3 linked regions of the Arabidopsis thaliana genome follow. The protein of the gene in region 2 interacts with the protein of the main gene of each other region in a pairwise test. Each region holds a gene or a part of one and is shown on either strand. Other genes may lie near its edges.

Evidence for each region. Proteins that work in one complex are often made in the same cells at the same time.
Region 1: the proteins of CDPK6 (region 2) and APX3 interact in a protein complementation assay, tested with the Arabidopsis thaliana proteins (one study listed by BioGRID).
Region 3: the proteins of CDPK6 (region 2) and KAB1 interact in a protein complementation assay, tested with the Arabidopsis thaliana proteins (one study listed by BioGRID).

The regions. Positions count from the first base shown.
Region 1 is NC_003075.7:16,663,985-16,669,853, forward strand, and holds APX3 (ascorbate peroxidase 3), read right to left. Parts: upstream 3,738-5,869; 5' UTR 3,558-3,737; coding exon 3,445-3,557; intron 3,294-3,444; coding exon 3,169-3,293; intron 3,005-3,168; coding exon 2,955-3,004; intron 2,409-2,954; coding exon 2,343-2,408; intron 2,255-2,342; coding exon 2,206-2,254; intron 2,093-2,205; coding exon 2,010-2,092; intron 1,927-2,009; coding exon 1,847-1,926; intron 1,703-1,846; coding exon 1,600-1,702; intron 1,218-1,599; coding exon 1,023-1,217; 3' UTR 740-1,022; downstream 1-739. Other genes in the region: BGAL11 (beta-galactosidase 11), read right to left, coding at 4,091-4,225, 4,308-4,802, 4,889-4,993, 5,076-5,186, 5,267-5,376, 5,448-5,557, 5,636-5,811. UniProt on the Arabidopsis thaliana protein: Plays a key role in hydrogen peroxide removal.
Region 2 is NC_003075.7:12,323,570-12,329,394, forward strand, and holds CDPK6 (calcium-dependent protein kinase 6), read right to left. Parts: upstream 4,083-5,825; 5' UTR 3,847-4,082; coding exon 3,437-3,846; intron 3,193-3,436; coding exon 2,906-3,192; intron 2,827-2,905; coding exon 2,683-2,826; intron 2,592-2,682; coding exon 2,439-2,591; intron 2,349-2,438; coding exon 2,233-2,348; intron 2,132-2,232; coding exon 1,964-2,131; intron 1,896-1,963; coding exon 1,768-1,895; intron 1,681-1,767; coding exon 1,581-1,680; intron 1,482-1,580; coding exon 1,398-1,481; 3' UTR 1,189-1,397; downstream 1-1,188. Other genes in the region: TRH1 (Potassium transporter family protein), read right to left, coding at 44-287, 720-722; PPT1 (polyprenyltransferase 1), read right to left, coding at 4,517-4,586, 4,680-4,776, 4,868-5,003, 5,293-5,358, 5,467-5,616, 5,703-5,772. UniProt on the Arabidopsis thaliana protein: May play a role in signal transduction pathways that involve calcium as a second messenger. Functions in abscisic acid (ABA) regulation of guard cell S-type anion- and Ca(2+)-permeable channels and stomatal closure.
Region 3 is NC_003070.9:1,310,997-1,316,562, forward strand, and holds KAB1 (potassium channel beta subunit 1), read left to right. Parts: upstream 1-2,446; 5' UTR 2,447-2,665; coding exon 2,666-3,033; intron 3,034-3,467; coding exon 3,468-3,663; intron 3,664-3,783; coding exon 3,784-3,927; intron 3,928-4,044; coding exon 4,045-4,209; intron 4,210-4,310; coding exon 4,311-4,424; 3' UTR 4,425-4,827; downstream 4,828-5,566. UniProt on the Arabidopsis thaliana protein: Probable accessory potassium channel protein which modulates the activity of the pore-forming alpha subunit.

The DNA.
Region 1 (5,869 bases), 4.3 Mb from region 2:
AAATAGGTAAGGGGATATTTTGAAATAAGTATCGATAAAAACATATCGAATAATGATTGTGGTTTTTATTCTTGTTTGGAGTTCTTTATTTGGAAAAGGGAAAAAGCTTTATTGGTGAAAGTTTGTTTGATACCTGAAAGACAATCTTAAAAGAGTTTGGTAGATTTCATGGTGTACATTTACTCTGAACTCCTACCGACATATTTGTATATTTAATAACGAAGAAAATAGAAATGGGATAGAATTGACATGTGATTTGTTATCTACACACACACCAAACAAATCTTAAAAAAATAGGTACATTATACGACTTTTAGAATGTATACAAAGTGCAACATGTAACATATATTTCCTAATTATTAAAAATGTATGGTTTATTTATTTAAACTACTTACAAGTTACAAAACCTTCGTTCTTGCCAAATTTAGAAGACATGCGTTTCTTTCTTTTAGTTTCTTATATAAGTTATTGTTAGGTGATTTCACATTCTGTTAAAATACAGTACACTTCTTTTACGTAACAACAATTCTTTTATGTCAACTTGAATAAAGCTATTTGCTACTTTGCGTCCATTACATGTCATCCCGAGCCTATATTTAGGTAACTGGCAACCAACATCATATATTATCTTCTTTAATGAAAATACGAAAGCAAAAAAAAATTTAATTTTAATTTCTTAGTAGAAGTTTCCTACCTAACTAAACCTACCACTACCAGGTTAGGTCAAGTTTCAGGTTATGTCCCCACTTTGGTAGATATCGACCGATCTTTGTTTCTTTCTTTTTTCTTTTTCTTTGGTACTAATTAATAAGTGAAACGAACATTGCAATGAACAAATATCGCAAAAATGAATCACGGACCCAAAATATTGACTTTTTAACTTTTTTACTACTAAACAGTAGAATCGTGGATTCAAAGAGTTTAGAATCTTGTAGCAGCAAAATAGATTCGATAGACGATTAATAGTTTCTTTAATACCCAAATAAGAGCATCGTTGCTTCGTGTTTTACTTCCTATTTCGTTTACTTCATCCTCTTCCGGATCTCGTAAAAGTAACCAAATGCCACAACCGCAGCAGCAACTGCAACCCCGAACGCACTCTGTGCCAGAATCGTGCTGTCTGCAACTGCTTTGCCTGCTGAGGAGTTTGGGTTGAAACCAAGCTCAGAGAGTTTCTTGTGCGATTCCGCGTAGTCTCTGAAGAATGCATCTTCATCCTGCCACCACAAACTGAACTTGTCAACACATAACAACACTTTCTTATCTTATTGAAACTTAATTAAGCAAGGAAATCATAAAGAACCATAGGAATTTCTGTTTACGGTTCTAACAAAAAGCTAATATTACAGTTCTCACTGATAGTAGTAAGAGTGTTCATTTTATCATTTTGCAACATCAGCAACTATAAAGGCGATAAGGATCCGTGGGGTTCTCTAGAACAAAACCCTAGATAATTTGGTTTGTGATTCAGTGTGTGTGCTTGTGGATTCAGTGAAAATGTGAAACCAATAAAGGAAATCGAGTTATGTTCCAATGGTTATTATAGCAACGCAAGAAACAAATGGCAAAGAGGCAGAGAAGATCTCCAGTATATTATACCTTTGCATAAAGCTCAACAAGACGACGGAACTCCGGGTCTTCCAATAAGGTCTTGTCAGTTGGAAGTTTCAACAAGCCCTCTGATTCTCCTTTCAGCAGTTCCCTGGTACCAAAACAGTAAATAATCATGGATAACCGATCATGTAAAAAAGTATCTGTTTGCTGCTTTTATTTCTTGGAGACACAAACAGAAAAGATTAAAAAAATGCACAAAGAAAATCTCTGAGGATAAAGAAATGAAAATTACACGAAGTAGGAGTTGTCAAACTTCAGCGGCTCTTGGGTCCATGGTCCATCAAAGCCTGACCTCTCCGGGTGAGCCCTTCCCTAAACACCCAATGTGGTCATAAGCACAACAAGCATATTTGTTCAAAAACAACGGAAGTTAAGTAAGTGACCAATGAATTTACCAGAGTATGACCCCCTGAGAGTGCCACAATATCCTTATCAGATAGTCCCATGCGGTAGAAGACATCTCTGAGATGTTGGAAACCTACAGAGATATAAACAATGTGAATTCATAGAAAAAATCTTCCAATTCCAAAACAAGATTATCAGTAGAAAACATGAAAAGTTTGTTATAATTGATACAAGAATTTAGTGTACCTTGTTTGGCATCAGGAAGTCTTCCTTCCTTGGGGCAGACATTTGAATCCTATCAAGAAGAAACATACAGTAATTATGTTTGCTTTAGTGTTAAACTGATAAGCTGTTATAATGTCTCAAGAGATGAGAAAGTATACCTTTCTCCCGGGAACGAACACGATGTCAGGTCCACCAGTAACCTCAACTGCTACCACACCAGCAAGCTGAAACAAAACACTTAAAAGTAAATAATTCATACCCAAAACTTAATTGCCATTAAACTGGTACACTTCTATTGGGAATTCATAAATAAAGCCTCGACCTTGTAAGACCAAATATAAAATGGAGAAACGGCAATACAAACAGTCGTAGAGACAGGTTATAGGTACAGACGACAGACATGTGACTTAGGATGGAAACAGATTGACATTACATTACAGTTTCCTTCTTGGTCGTTTGAATTCATTCAGTGTATATTTTACTTGAATTTAGCTATTACTGCAAGAGATAAAAGTTCTAGTTGAACAACATAGTCAATCTATGATTTTTGTAAACCAAATCACAATCAGTAACATCTCCTGAAACAAATTACAACTGAAACCATATTTACACAGCTGCTCAACTATCAACTAAGTCTCCTAAACAACAAGCTCAAACCTGGGACGAGGTAATGACACAAGCCGAATACAGTTCCAGCGAACTTTGAAAAACAAATGTGCAGAAAAAGCAACAAGGACATCAAAAAGATTTCTCTCACAGCCTTAACTCACCTGATACAGGTCTGCGTATGTGATTTTGGGATGCTTAGCTTTCACGCCCTCTGAAACATCAAAGATAGGATCTCATAATTAAGCGATACAAAGTCCATTTCCAAAAGCATAATGTAATTATTTTGAACAGTGTTCTTAAACCACAACATAAAACGGATACATCGCATGAAATTATCCAGAAAGTGAATCTACAAAAACTAAATCAAAATCCTACCACAGAGATCGAGAGCGATCTTCAAACCACTGTTGGCACCATGAGTGTGCTCTTCTTCGTTCCTGATAGAGCCATTAGGTCCACCGGTCTTCGATTGAGCATCATAGGTTCCAGCATCGTGCCATCTTCATAAAAACCAGATGATACAAACATTTCAACATTCAAAAACAAACAAAATCGATTCTACAGCCTAACTACAATCGAACGATCTCCACATGAATAAACGAAATCTGTAACAGTCAACTCGACGAAAAACCAAGGAAATCGAAAACTTACGCCAATCGGAGCATGATAGGAGCACAGTTCTTGTTCGCGATGAGAGAACGGAGCTCACGGCGAGCCTTAGTGATCTCTTTCAAGTACTCCGCATCAACAATCGGTGCAGCCATAGCTCCTACTCGTTTAGGATTTGTGAAGAAGAAAGAGAGCGATGAACAAGAAAATGGTCAAGGATGTGTGTGAAGATTTTTTTTGGTTACACCGAAATTTGGGCCAAAGAGATAAAACCACCCAATGAGAAACGGGATTTGAATGGGCGGTGTCAGTTATCTCCTGTTTTCCTCAGCCACATCTTTCGGTGGACCTCATTGGCTTTTTAGATACGATTGTTGGCACGTGACTTGCATGTCATTTTGTTACACAAAAAACGGCACACGAGTTTGCTAGTTATTTGTTAAACAGCGTGCATGTTCATTCCTTAAATTTTGTAAAATGGAAACATTGAATAAAAATGGACATAAACCATTATTTTTTCCGGTGATTTATGTTTTCTGGATCATATTCGAATATATTACTCGTGTATTAGAGTTAAATTGAAGAAATCAAATACAAACAGAACGACAAAAATCGATGTCACAACACTTTGAAATTGGTCTACTAAACACAATACATGAACCATATGTAATGTGATGATATACACTCTTCAGTTCTTCTTCCCACGACCACACTTGACTTGCACGGCAAGCATCTTCACAACGTTCTTACATGAATCCTTCTTGTCTTGTTGAAACGTGCTCTTGTTCACCGGAATCACACATTCAGCTTTCCCCAAACAGTGCTGCAATAGATTTTTTTTATTGGTTACTCCTATCATAAGGTACAAACTATATAGCAAGAAGAAACAAGATATAATATTTTACCTTCTCGATGACTTGCTTTGAAACAGGAGCATTACAAGTACCAAGTGTGAAGTTTCCACAAACACCAATAGGGTTTCCGAAGCTAGCGAACTCAACTGCTGCGATCTTCTTAGTGCCTGAGCATTTAAGAGTAGCCGTGAGACTCACGTTATCTGTGATGGCTTGAACTTGATCTTTCTTCCTAGTCCAGTGTCTAACACTTGGAGTGTAGTTTTCTCCAACGTAAGAACAAACAGTGTCTCTGTTAACGATGGCAAAGTCCATAAGCTCAGGCTTCACATTAGGCTCTTCCTCAAAGATAACAAGAAGGTTCTTCTTGGGCTTTAAGAAAGATCTAGGGATGTGATACTCTATTTGTGTAGGTTGACCTAATGGAGACAAGAACGATTGCCAATATCTTCCAACGCCTTCTCCGTTCACCCAAATCAACCCTTTTCCCATTCCATGCATGCGAATCGTTGCTGCGCTTACGCTCTCTGGTGCATCAAAGTATGTCTGCAATGTTTCACATTCCTTAGAAAACTTCTACATATCATACCAATCATACTCTGTATAGTTTGATTTTTGTTTTTGTCTCTTACCTGGTACCATGTAAGTCCTGGTGCTTTTCCGGTGAATTTTTTCCATTCGACCTTCTTTAAACCTTCCTCAGTGTGGATTCCAAGTTTTTCACCTTCCATACCGATCTAATGATCGAAAAAAACGGATCAGAAGAAGGAAATGCATACTCAATGTTGAAATACAATAACGGAGAAATTGTTTATAAACCTTGTTTCCCCATTTGCTGCTCTCAGTGAGATCAAGTGTTCCAGAAGTCAATCCTAAGATGGAAATACCACGAGGACCGGTGTATCTATGCTCCATGTAAGATCCACTGTCCTGTAAGAACCAAAAATCCCAAACATTAACGAAACAAATCTTCATCTATAGATATTGAATTATGTTTGTTAATTACTTACTGGGAATCCTGTGAGAACACCAAGCATTACAAGATGATTCTCTCCTGCTTTTAGTGTAACCTGTTTTTGGAAAACAAAACTCTTCTCTTCGTGGCTTCCATGTCCACTTCCTGTTAAGAAGATATCATTATTATAGCTCATTGTTGTAGTACTTGTAGATCATTCTTGCACAAATTCTTACCAAGGTATTCTCCGTTAAGCCAAGCGTGCAACGCGTGTCCAAGACTAGCAATCCTCACAAAAGTCTTAACTCCTTTCTTGGTAGGTAAGTGATTCTTGTGAACCTTGAAGCTGCAAAGCAAAATTCAACTTCAAAATTCTCTTCTTTTATATATTCAATAAACAATCACATAAAAGTAAATTCTTTACCTTGTTGTGTACCATCCATAGTCTGTCTTGTCTTTAGTCAAACCATAAAGCTCAACGGGTATGTATGAGTTACCTTCGAGTTTACTAGGCAATGTCTCTGTGAAAACTTTGAAATCAAACTTCTTGTTTGCCTTTTTAGACTTCATAAAGTTCCTTGAAGTGTGTTGAGAAACAATCTGGTCCAATAACAAACAAGAACTTGTTAAAACTCTGTTTTTTTTGCTCAAATAAACC
Region 2 (5,825 bases):
CAGAAGAAAACAAATAGACTCAATTAGCAACCGATGCACATACCTTCACCATTGTCATCTGCACTTAACACAAAAACCATGTACTTGATGAGTGAAAGGAGAGTGATGGTCCAAAATATCAAAGAAAACGCGCCAAATATCGTATCTTCTGTTTGGTGATGTCTCAATCCTCCGTAGAATGTACATTTATACACATAGAGAGGAGAAATACTCAAATCTCCAAACACTAAGCCAAAACTCTGGTATGCTAAAAGGAGGATCTGGTTACACCTGTTTCTCCTATCAGCCTGATTCAATAGAAGACAACAACAAACTTATAACACCACGCTGGTCAAAACTACACACATATATAAACAGATATTGCCGAACATTTTAACGTTTGGATAGATTATCAATGAATGGCTCATAAGCTATCACAAGAAGCTTAAACTTCGAGAGCTTACAAATCAAAACATAAGCTCAGAGATGCATTAAAACGAATCGCTAACAGTAATTTTACTTTCAAGAGTGATATTGAGTTGGATTTGAATATCCTGATTGAAAAATTTAGAATCAGAAGCTAAATTCAATGAATATTGGCATCATTCATTTTCAGAATTCTCTCACCATTTCTATTCACATCATCACAGTACAACAATTGTAATTCCGCAGGAGTAGCAATAAGGAATCTAGGGGTTTAAGATTTCCGACGTATCGGTCGAGAGAAGGGAGCGACATACCATGATTCAAGCCGCCGGCGAGTAAGATGCGGCGTAGCTTGGATCTTCAACGATCAGAGATTACACGCCGGAGACTAGTTCTTTGGAATCGGAATCGAATCTAGAGAAAAACGATCAACGATCATTTGTTGTTTTTATTATCGAGAGAAGAAAAATTTAACAAATTCGATCCAAAGCTCGCGGTCCTTCTTCTTCTTCCAGTTTTTTTTTTATATATATCTCAGTTGATTTTTTATTCGTTCTTTTAATTTTTTTTACTCATTTTAGTTGTCCGATTTCTCTGTGAGAAAATGTCACCAAGATTATTAGATTTCGTCATTTTTCATGTATAAAAATCGGATTTGAAACTTCTAATCCCTCCTACTGCACCTTGCTTATTTTTTTATTGCCTTGATTAGATATAATCTCAAATTTGTTTGTAAGGGTTAAGATTATCATTCTATAATTTTTTAAGTGAATTTCAGCTTCAAATCATGCAAGAATCAACCTGTAATTATTATATATTGAATCTCTCATAAGTCATTAACCAAACCTGCAAATGGCTTTCTGATCTCAAAGTATTTTTTATGTTGTGTTGATAAAAAGAGATTGCAGGAAACAAAATAATTGATTGTAACAGAAACACAAAGTTTGAGTAAAGTGATAACCAAAAACAAACAAACAACATCAAAAGATCTCTCACATTCTGCGTCGGTTTGGCACCAATTCTGGATTTCCCTTCTTCATCATCGCTACAAATTCTTCGTAGTTGATTTTTCCGTCCTAAAGATTCGAATACAAAGATGAGAAGAGAGTGTTAAACTTACACGTATACTTACAGATGTATGAATTGGACGAAACCAGAGATTTACGTATACTTACACGATCGGTGTCTACTTCAGCAATGATCTCTTTGATGGATTTATCATCACCCATGTTGTATTTCTTCATGGCTAGCTCTAGCTCTTCCATTGTTATGTAGCTAATATCACAAATCAAGATCAAAGAGTGAGACTTTATTTATAGCTTGTTAAAGAAAGAAATAGAGAGCTAAAGAACAATGTTTTACCCGCTGTTGTCATTGTCAAAGAACTGGAATGCGGTGTACAAGTGATCCTCACGTTCGATTCTGTTCATATGCATTGTGGCTGATATAAACTCCAAGTAATCAATTGATCCATCTCCATCCATATCAGCCTAAAAGAAACAAAGCATCATAAGCATTATTGCTTTGACATCAAAGTAGTGGATTGTGATAGACTTACTGCTTCCATTAACTGCCTTATTTCAGCTTCAGAGATCTTTGAACCAAGTTTTGGGAGACCGGTTCTCAATTCCTCCAAGGTGACTATTCCATTGTTATCAGTGTCTAGAGATTTGAACATCTCTTTAAGACCAATGATTTCTTCTTCAGAAAGGTTCTCAGCGATAACCTGAAATTGCAAAACGAAAACCAAAGATTGGCTTTAGAACAAGAAGACTACATAAACTACAATAGTGATGGTAAGACTGTTTCAATCAGTGTTTTAATTACCTTCAGGGCCATTTTTTTTAGTTTGTTCATCGCCCGGAATTGTTTCATCCTGGATAACACCGCATTGTCAAGCGGTTTGTCTGATGCCTCCCCATCTTCTCTAATCCACGGATGATCTGCGTATGTATCAAAACGTTATTAAAATTGGATAAAAGAAGGTGTTTTCATCAATTTATTCATCAAAACATGTTATAAAGGGGTCTTACTTAGCACTTCCGCAGCTGTAAGCCGATCTTTAGGGTCATATTTTAACATTTTCCTCACAAGATCTTTGGCACCATCTGATAGTGCTGGCCATGGATCAGCTGAAAAATCAAGTTGCCCTTGAAGAATGGCATCAAAGATCCCCGTTTCATTTTCTGCACAACAGAAAGAACGTGACTATACATTCCAGTCCAACATTTAAACAGTGAAACCAAATTCTCTTCTCAAATAAGATCAAGACAATACCTCCCCAGAAAGGCGGAACACCACTGAGAAGGATGTATAGAATCACACCAGCACTCCAGATATCAGCCTCTGGTCCATAGTTCCGTTTTAGAACTTCTGGGGCAACATAGTATGCACTTCCAACAAGATCCTTAAACTTATCACCTGCATTAATGGATCAACTTCATTAGAGGGATAAATTGTCTATAGAAATCAAATAGGGAAGGATAGAGGCTGTTCAAACCTGGCTTGAAGAAGACAGAGAGACCAAAGTCTGTAGCTTTCAATGGTGAGTTCTCATCTTTACTAAGAAAGAGAAAGTTTTCGGGCTTCAAGTCTCGGTGCATTACACCCATAGAATGACAACTATGCACAACCATCACCATCTGCCTACACAAATCCGCAGCAGCTCTCTCTGAGTAAAGACCTTTAGAAATGATCCTATCGAACAATTCCCCTCCTTCACACAACTCCATTATCAGATTCACAGAGTGTCTGTCCTCGTAGGCTCCCTTCAAGTCCACTATGTTCCTATAATCAACTCACCAATTTGAAACTCAGGTAAATATAAATATGCAAAAAGGGAAACTTTTTCAAGAGTTTAACATAGGACCACCAAACTTTTCATCCACATATGATGCAAACCATTCATTAATATAGAAAACGAATCCTATGTCTAAATATTCACCAATATTCCAACAAAAGGCGTTTCAGATTCGATTTCGGAAAATGTCAAAGAAGCATTTTCCAGTGAGATACAAAAAAAGAGATTTACCGGTGACCGCTGAGATGGTGCATAATCTGGACTTCACGGCGAACATCTTCAATGTCGTCTTTGTGAACAAGGCGGCGCGTAGGGATTGACTTGCAAGCGACCTGTTGTTTCGTCTCTTTGTGAGTTACGAGGTACGTGACACCAAACTGGCCACGACCAAGCTCACGACCAAACTCATAGGTTCTCCGTACTTCCTCCATCGGCCGACCTAAGATCCGACCATTCTGCTGAGTAGATGTGGTGGAACGAGATCCGCCTGTTCCGGAGCCTGACGATCCGACGGTTCCGGAACCGGATGATCCGCGGCGTTCTCCGGCAGGTTTAACATGGTGGACTACGTTGCCGGAGGAAGAGGAGGAGGAGGACGGTGGCGGATCGGAGGATTTGGACTTGCTGTGTCTGTGGCCCATTGTCAAAAGCTTTCTCTCAGTCAATAAAGTCAATCGAGAGAGAAAGATTGTATCTCCGATTCTTATGGCTTTTTAATGTCTGAGATCAGACACGATGACCACGTGGCGTGTTTTTATTGGTACGTAGTTGAACCGCGTATAAACAAAAGTATTTGTCCCATTGGAAGATAAATTAGTGGATGTGGAAATCTTCTGCATATTAGTTGTTTCCACTTCTCCAATCAATCACACGGCTAATTCAATGTTAATCTTTTGCAATTTGAGATTGAAAAAGGAAAAGTTATTAACATCCTTTAGGTTACAAAATCAATGATATTGCGTATGTCAACTATAAAAGCCAAAAGTAAAGCCTCTTGTTTGACCAGAAGGTCATGATCATTGTATACATACAGCCAAACTACCTCCTGGAAGAAAAGACATGGATCCCAAACAACAACAATAGCTTCTTTTACAAGAACCAGTAGTAACTAGTCACTAATCTAAAAGAGTTAAGTTTCAGCTTTTCTGGCAATGGCTCCTTGATCATTTCAATCCTGAAGGAGACCCACTTTGTAGCAAGACCATGTCCTCTGTTTCACTTACAGTGTGTCTCAAAAGTCTACTTCAATTCTTCATATATAGGTTCCTCACACTACAGCTTCATCCTCATTCGTTGACAGAGAGAGAGTCTTTATTGAAAACTTCTTCCAAGTACAACTCCACTAAATATAATAGCACCAAACCACTTGTTCGACACAAATCTGTACAGATATAAAAACACTATTAGGTTTTCCAAGGCAAATCACATAATTGGATTGTGAAAGAGTACAAAAGATAAACCCAAATTTTCATACTTTCTACTGCAGTCAGCACCAGATGATAAGTCAGCTGTCCCTATTTGCCATCCTAACTGTCCTGATGCAGCGGCCAGTGATGCGTAATATTGCCACCCTTAATCATTAGAGCGAGAAACAAAAAGAATCAAAAGACAGTAAATGGAATTAGGAATCACAAATGAGTCCTTGTAAAGTTTATTGAGTACCGAGATCTGCACTGAATCCAGAAAGTGCAAGAAAACCTATGGATGCTGTGCCAAATCCAGTTAACCAAAGCTTTGTATTATCACCGAATCTAAGGGCTGTTGACTTAACACCAACTTTTACATCATCTTCTTTGTCCTGGAGACACAATATATTAGACATTAGTCCATGGAAAAAAAATGATTTAACCTAGAATATCTCAAAATTACTTGCATAAAAACTGAACTTGAGCTGAAATTTTGGGTTCGTAGCTTGTGGCATATACTATTTCATTTTCAATGGGCCACAAAGGTAACTTTCTTTTCTCACTTCTGTTGCAAACGGGAAGACTTTTATGGGGCTAACTCTTCACTTAAAGTATAGAAATCAGATGGAAAAGGTGGGAGATCAGGGTAATTTTCTTCTTTATGATTGACAAAAGTCGAACATCGAAATGGATGCATTTGCATGAGACATGAAACAAAAGCTGAAAAAGAAATCTGTGGTGGTGAAGCTAGAAAAAGAAAACAAAGCAAGCAATATGCACACATTGAGATTAACTACTTTGCTACTGGTCATAATCAAATAGATTTTGAAGCTAAAAAATAAAAAGTGAATATACCTGATGTGCATAAATAGTATCATAAACAAGGGTCCAGCAGACTCCGGAGAGATAGAGAGGGAGTACAATAGATGGTGCTATGCTTCCTTTAACTGCAGTCCATCCTAACAATGCTCCCCAGTTTATGGTCAAACCTAAAAAGGCTTGAGGCTGCAATTATAAAAACGAATCAATCATAAGAAAATCAGAAAATATATAATGTCTAACTTTGAGAAGCCAGAATAGATTTAAATTACCCAAAATGTAAACCTCTTCATAAGTGGGTAGGAAAAGACAAGTAACAAAGATGAAGCCCCTAAAACACGGCTGCAGAATATACATACTGAAATGAGCTCAAGTAGAAAAGAATTTGATCACAA
Region 3 (5,566 bases), on a different chromosome or scaffold from region 2:
AAAATATCGAATAGTTGGAACTTGGATCCTATCGACATTGTACGTCGTCGTTTTGTGCTACGAAGAGACGTGGTTTTGTTTTTAGTTTAGTTATGTGTTGTTTTTGTCTTTGTTATATAAAACTAAATGACAAAATTTGCACACAAGAAAGAAACCAAAAGATTTTAGATCCTCTCGATCGGACGTACGCTAGAAGGTTCTTCCGTAATTTTCATATAAATGATCTTTATCGTGTCATTGCAACGTTAAATTCGATTGAGACGTGTCAAATTAATTTCTTCTAACTATGCGGTGTCATTATATTACGAATTAGCAAAAAAAGATGAAAAATGCATGTGAGATCTACCTAAGATACTGTTCTAAAATATATACGGTTTTCTTGCGCGATTAGAGATCAACATACGATTAGAGATCGGCGATTAAAGATTTGCTGGAAAATGACTCATATATATTTCCCAATCCTCGCAGATAAAATAAAACGGCACTTTACCGTTTTCTTTAGAAGTTAGTCGAAGACAAGTATTCTAAAAATTCAACAAAAACAAGAAACGAAAAGTAAACTACAAAATGTTAGAAAAGACTCACATGAAACACTCACTGTGCCTCTCTAATCAAATGGAAAAAAGTGGAGAGTTTAAACTTATAAGTATAGTATAGATGATAGAAATCTTCTAAAAACGATACCCGTGAACTAAGTTGATCCTGTGATCTTCATAATCCATACAATTTCAACAGAAAAATACTTTTTTGTGTTTTAAAAAATACTGCGAAAAGCTATATAAATAGTAAGATAAATTGGTTTAAATCCAAAGGTATGATAAAATTCTTTCTCAAAAACGTCATATTTGGTTAGTAGTACTCTTAATCGAGTGGTTCATCAAAATGTATCGGTTTATATATATCAGATCTTGAATAATTTGCAAAAACTCAAAATTTCTTACAACTAATAGCAATATATCATGTATCATATAGCTAGGTAAAAGTAAAATCATACGTTTTAAAAAAACTGTGGTAGGGAATTATATATGAAGCCGTTTATAATAGCATGCATGTGCTTAACATAGCAAAAAACCATATGATTAGTATCGGGGTACATGAAAGAAAAGGGCAGATAAAGCTAGATTAGGATTTGATAACGTACGAGAAAAAATCGAGAAAAAATGTCAACCCTTGGTGGGAGATTTAGGCGAATTTTCTAATCTATCTTCCTCTTATTTTTTTCTTGGTGGCCAATAAAACTAGAGTTTTTAGAGGGTAACGAATCCAAACCCCACACTCACATGCATCGAATCCAATCTGTTTCTCCAACCCATTCATTACCAAAACAGCAGATAAATTTTATAATTCATCAAGTCTACCAATATTAATTATCTTCTCATAATCATAAACTTGGTTCTCTTTATCCAATATTATCTTCTCATAATCATAAACTTGATTCTCAAACATTATTACTAAATCTATTTTTCTTTTCCCCTTCTAATATTCTTTACTTTAACAATACAAATACAACTCCTTTTAAGACTTTTTTTTATAGTAAAGAGTTATACATAACATGTTTGGTAACATAGTAAAATAGCTAATATAATAGACCTTTTCTAAAAATTGTCAAAATACAATAAGTGTAATTGGTGGATAACATGTCTACTTTAAAAAACTTTTTAGAGTATTAAAATTGTCGTCCCATAAACTATATAAATGATCATCATAAATGTATTACAATAACAGCATATCAAGACTTGACGGTTATCAGCCAAAATCATTAAATTTTGGAATTAGATGTTAATAATATACAAGTGTCATGTCGATCTCTTGTTTACATATCCAAACATCTCTATGTGTGACGTGAGTTACTACTTACTAGAATATGGAGTAAGATAATATGGGCTTCCTAAAAGGCCTATACAGAAACAAAGCCCAACAACCTAAAACCCAGTGTGAACGTGAAGGACTTGAAATATTCCAAAGTTGAGTGACTGATGAAACCTTTCACGTGACAGTGACTTGATTTTATTCGTATACGGGCAAAGTTCTTCCATTACTGCAAAAACTCTTCTATTAATGACCAACTTTTCATAAAAGAAAGTACACGTGTCTGTCATTAGATTGGTAGGTACATGGAGACTACACTAAAGTCATTCACATGGGATTCTTTGACCCATTAGGAGCCAAATAAAAATCTTCTCTTTTTAGTCTTTTTTTTCCATCTTAATTAAAATTACGAGATCACGCTTTCTTTTTTAGTACGAGGGATCAGCATCTTAATTAGATCACGAATTAAAATCACATATTTTATACAAATTGCGACTTAACCGGAATACCTTTAGACCGGATAAATTCTTACCAACAACCAATATCTGGAGGTTCAATATGGTTTGGTACCTAATTTTGTACCGGAAATTGCAGAAATCATCGTATTCGAGTGTTGGATTTGCTATGATATTACATTCAAAATTTTGGTACATATTGGTTGATCATGAAAACCGGAAAAGTAAAACCAAACCGGTAGCTTACCGTATTTTGCTAAGTGTTGTCACTTATTAAGATTGGTAATAGAGTACTTATTGTCTGTTCTTCTTCATTCATTACAACAAACTCTTTGAGACCTAAAGAGAGAGAGAGCGATAGTGAGATTTAGATCAACAGATTTGAATCGATTTCTGAAAACATGCAGTACAAGAATCTGGGGAAATCGGGTTTAAAAGTGAGCACGCTCTCGTTCGGAGCGTGGGTTACGTTCGGGAACCAGCTCGATGTGAAAGAAGCGAAATCGATTCTTCAGTGTTGTCGTGATCATGGAGTCAATTTCTTCGATAACGCTGAGGTTTACGCTAATGGTCGCGCTGAGGAGATTATGGGTCAAGCGATTCGTGAACTGGGTTGGCGTCGATCCGATATCGTCATCTCTACCAAGATCTTCTGGGGTGGTCCTGGTCCTAACGATAAGGGTTTATCTAGGAAACATATCGTTGAAGGCACTAAAGCTTCTCTCAAACGACTTGATATGGATTACGTTGATGTGCTCTATTGCCACAGGTGACCAATTTCAGATTTGTTTTTTTATTTAGTGATTTTATTTTTTTTCACTTGGTTCTTTGAAGATCTAGGGTTTTGATATGATCTGATTTGAGTGTAAGGTTTATCTGAATATTTCTGGTGTACTATGTTGTCTGCGCATTTAATTTTCTTACATGTGCTTGCCTTTAGTACAAATTGCTGTTTTTGAATTTATAAAATTTACAATTTGAATCCACTTATGATGTAGCTTAGTGCTGTATAGTGTGGATCTATTTGGTTTCCACTTTTATTTCATATCTGATAATTGGGATCTGCATTTTGCCATACATTGCACAAGATATTTTGGAAAAGTGGCATCTTTGCATTGATCTAAGTGTCACTAGATTCTTTGATTGACATATGTTTATTAAAAATGTTTCCTTTTTTTGTGTGAATTGGGTCATTTATTACAGGCCGGATGCTTCAACTCCTATCGAAGAGACTGTGAGGGCGATGAACTACGTGATTGATAAGGGTTGGGCCTTCTATTGGGGAACCAGTGAATGGTCAGCTCAACAAATTACGGAGGCATGGGGAGCTGCTGACCGGTTGGATTTGGTTGGTCCAATTGTCGAACAGCCAGAATACAACATGTTCGCTAGGCACAAAGTTTGTAATCTGACTCTCTTTTTCTTTAATTTACTTTCATGTTTGCGTCTTATCTTGTACAGTCTTAAGTTGTTGTAGTCTCGTGTTATGTAGCTCAAGTTATGCTCTTCTGTTATGTAGGTTGAGACAGAGTTTCTTCCTCTGTACACCAACCATGGTATAGGTCTCACTACCTGGAGCCCACTTGCATCTGGTGTGCTCACTGGTAAATACAACAAGGGAGCTATTCCCTCAGACAGCCGATTTGCATTGGAGAACTACAAAGTATTCCTTTTTTTTCCTTTTTCTTGTGTATTCTTGGTCATATTTGCTAAGACCTCAATCTGCTTCTGCATCTAACTAATACACTGGTACATGTCTTGGTTTTAATTTCTTTCGCAGAACCTTGCCAATAGATCACTTGTGGATGACGTGCTGAGGAAAGTTAGCGGTCTCAAACCCATTGCAGATGAGCTAGGTGTAACCTTGGCTCAGCTTGCAATCGCATGGTGTGCTTCAAATCCTAATGTGTCATCTGTTATCACTGGTGCCACAAGGGAGTCACAGGTTAGTTCTTGATCGCTTATAAAGCATTAACATAGCGAGTCTCGGTCTAGATTTGGATCCAAGATCTGAAAGATTTTGTTTCTTTTTTTGTACCTTGACAGATTCAAGAAAATATGAAAGCTGTTGATGTGATCCCATTGTTGACCCCTATTGTTCTGGACAAGATTGAGCAAGTGATACAGAGCAAACCAAAACGTCCTGAATCATATAGGTAAAACCAACATCCAAGATCTCTCTTCCCTATTCAATCGTTTACAAAAGAGTGTTGCAGGAAAAAGAAAACATTAGAAGAAGCTCTGTGATGTATGTTGTTGGATGTTGTCTCGTTTTCGCTTTGTTTGTTCTCTTTAGCAGCTTATGCATTTTTAAGACTCAGACAGAGAGAAAGAGAGACTAATGTTTTTTTTTAGTTTTTCTTGTTTCATCATTTAAAAAACGGTCTTATTTGTTACTTGTTAGTGCAACTTAAAGTTTGGTTCTTGTAGTTTGCCATGTCATGACGTCAATATATTGAATAGCTCATCAAACAATTCTGGTTATATCTTAATGTTGTGAAGATTTTAATTTAGTGCAAGGGGGTTGATATGTTATTAATAAAGATTTAATGGAGGTATTTAAAGCTCAACGTGCACAACATAATGTCTCAACTATATACCATGTTTTTAAAAACATACATGCATAGACATCCTACACAATCTTTTTAGGTAAGATCCCAATAAAAATCTAAATTTGGATGATCTGTTTTATTTGGTTAACAAAACTAAGAGATGAGTAAAGAAAATAAAAGAGTTTCTGGAATTGGCTAAAAAAAGAAAGAAATAGATAAAAACGTTCCCTCAAAAACCTCCACATGCAATTTATGAATTTACTATTTGAAAAAAATAAAAATAAGATAAGACAAAATTATTAATAGATTGAAGATGATTTCACCCATGATTCAAGTGCAACGAATAAAATCAAAAATAATTTCAAGAATAAGAAATAAAAAGAGAGAATTTCGAGAGAGAAAGGTTTAGTTTTTATTTTGTTTGGAGTTTGTCACCCACCCGCGTTATTTTGAGAGCGCTTCTCTGCGTCTCTCTTCTCTCTCTCTCTCTCGCAAATCAAAAACCTCAACTTTTGAAAAACTTCAATCTCTAGAAACATTCTTCTCTTTTACCCAAAAATCTCATCTTTTGTTTGTTTGTTATTCTTCTCCTTCATTGTTAATCTCATTGGCCATTTTTCCCTAGGTAATCAAATTCATCTAAAGCTCCAATTTTTCAATTCGATTACACCACATTCGGTGTCATCAATGATCTCGTTGCTTATATATGTATATACAATTGATTTGTGTGATCAACATTTGCAGAAAAAA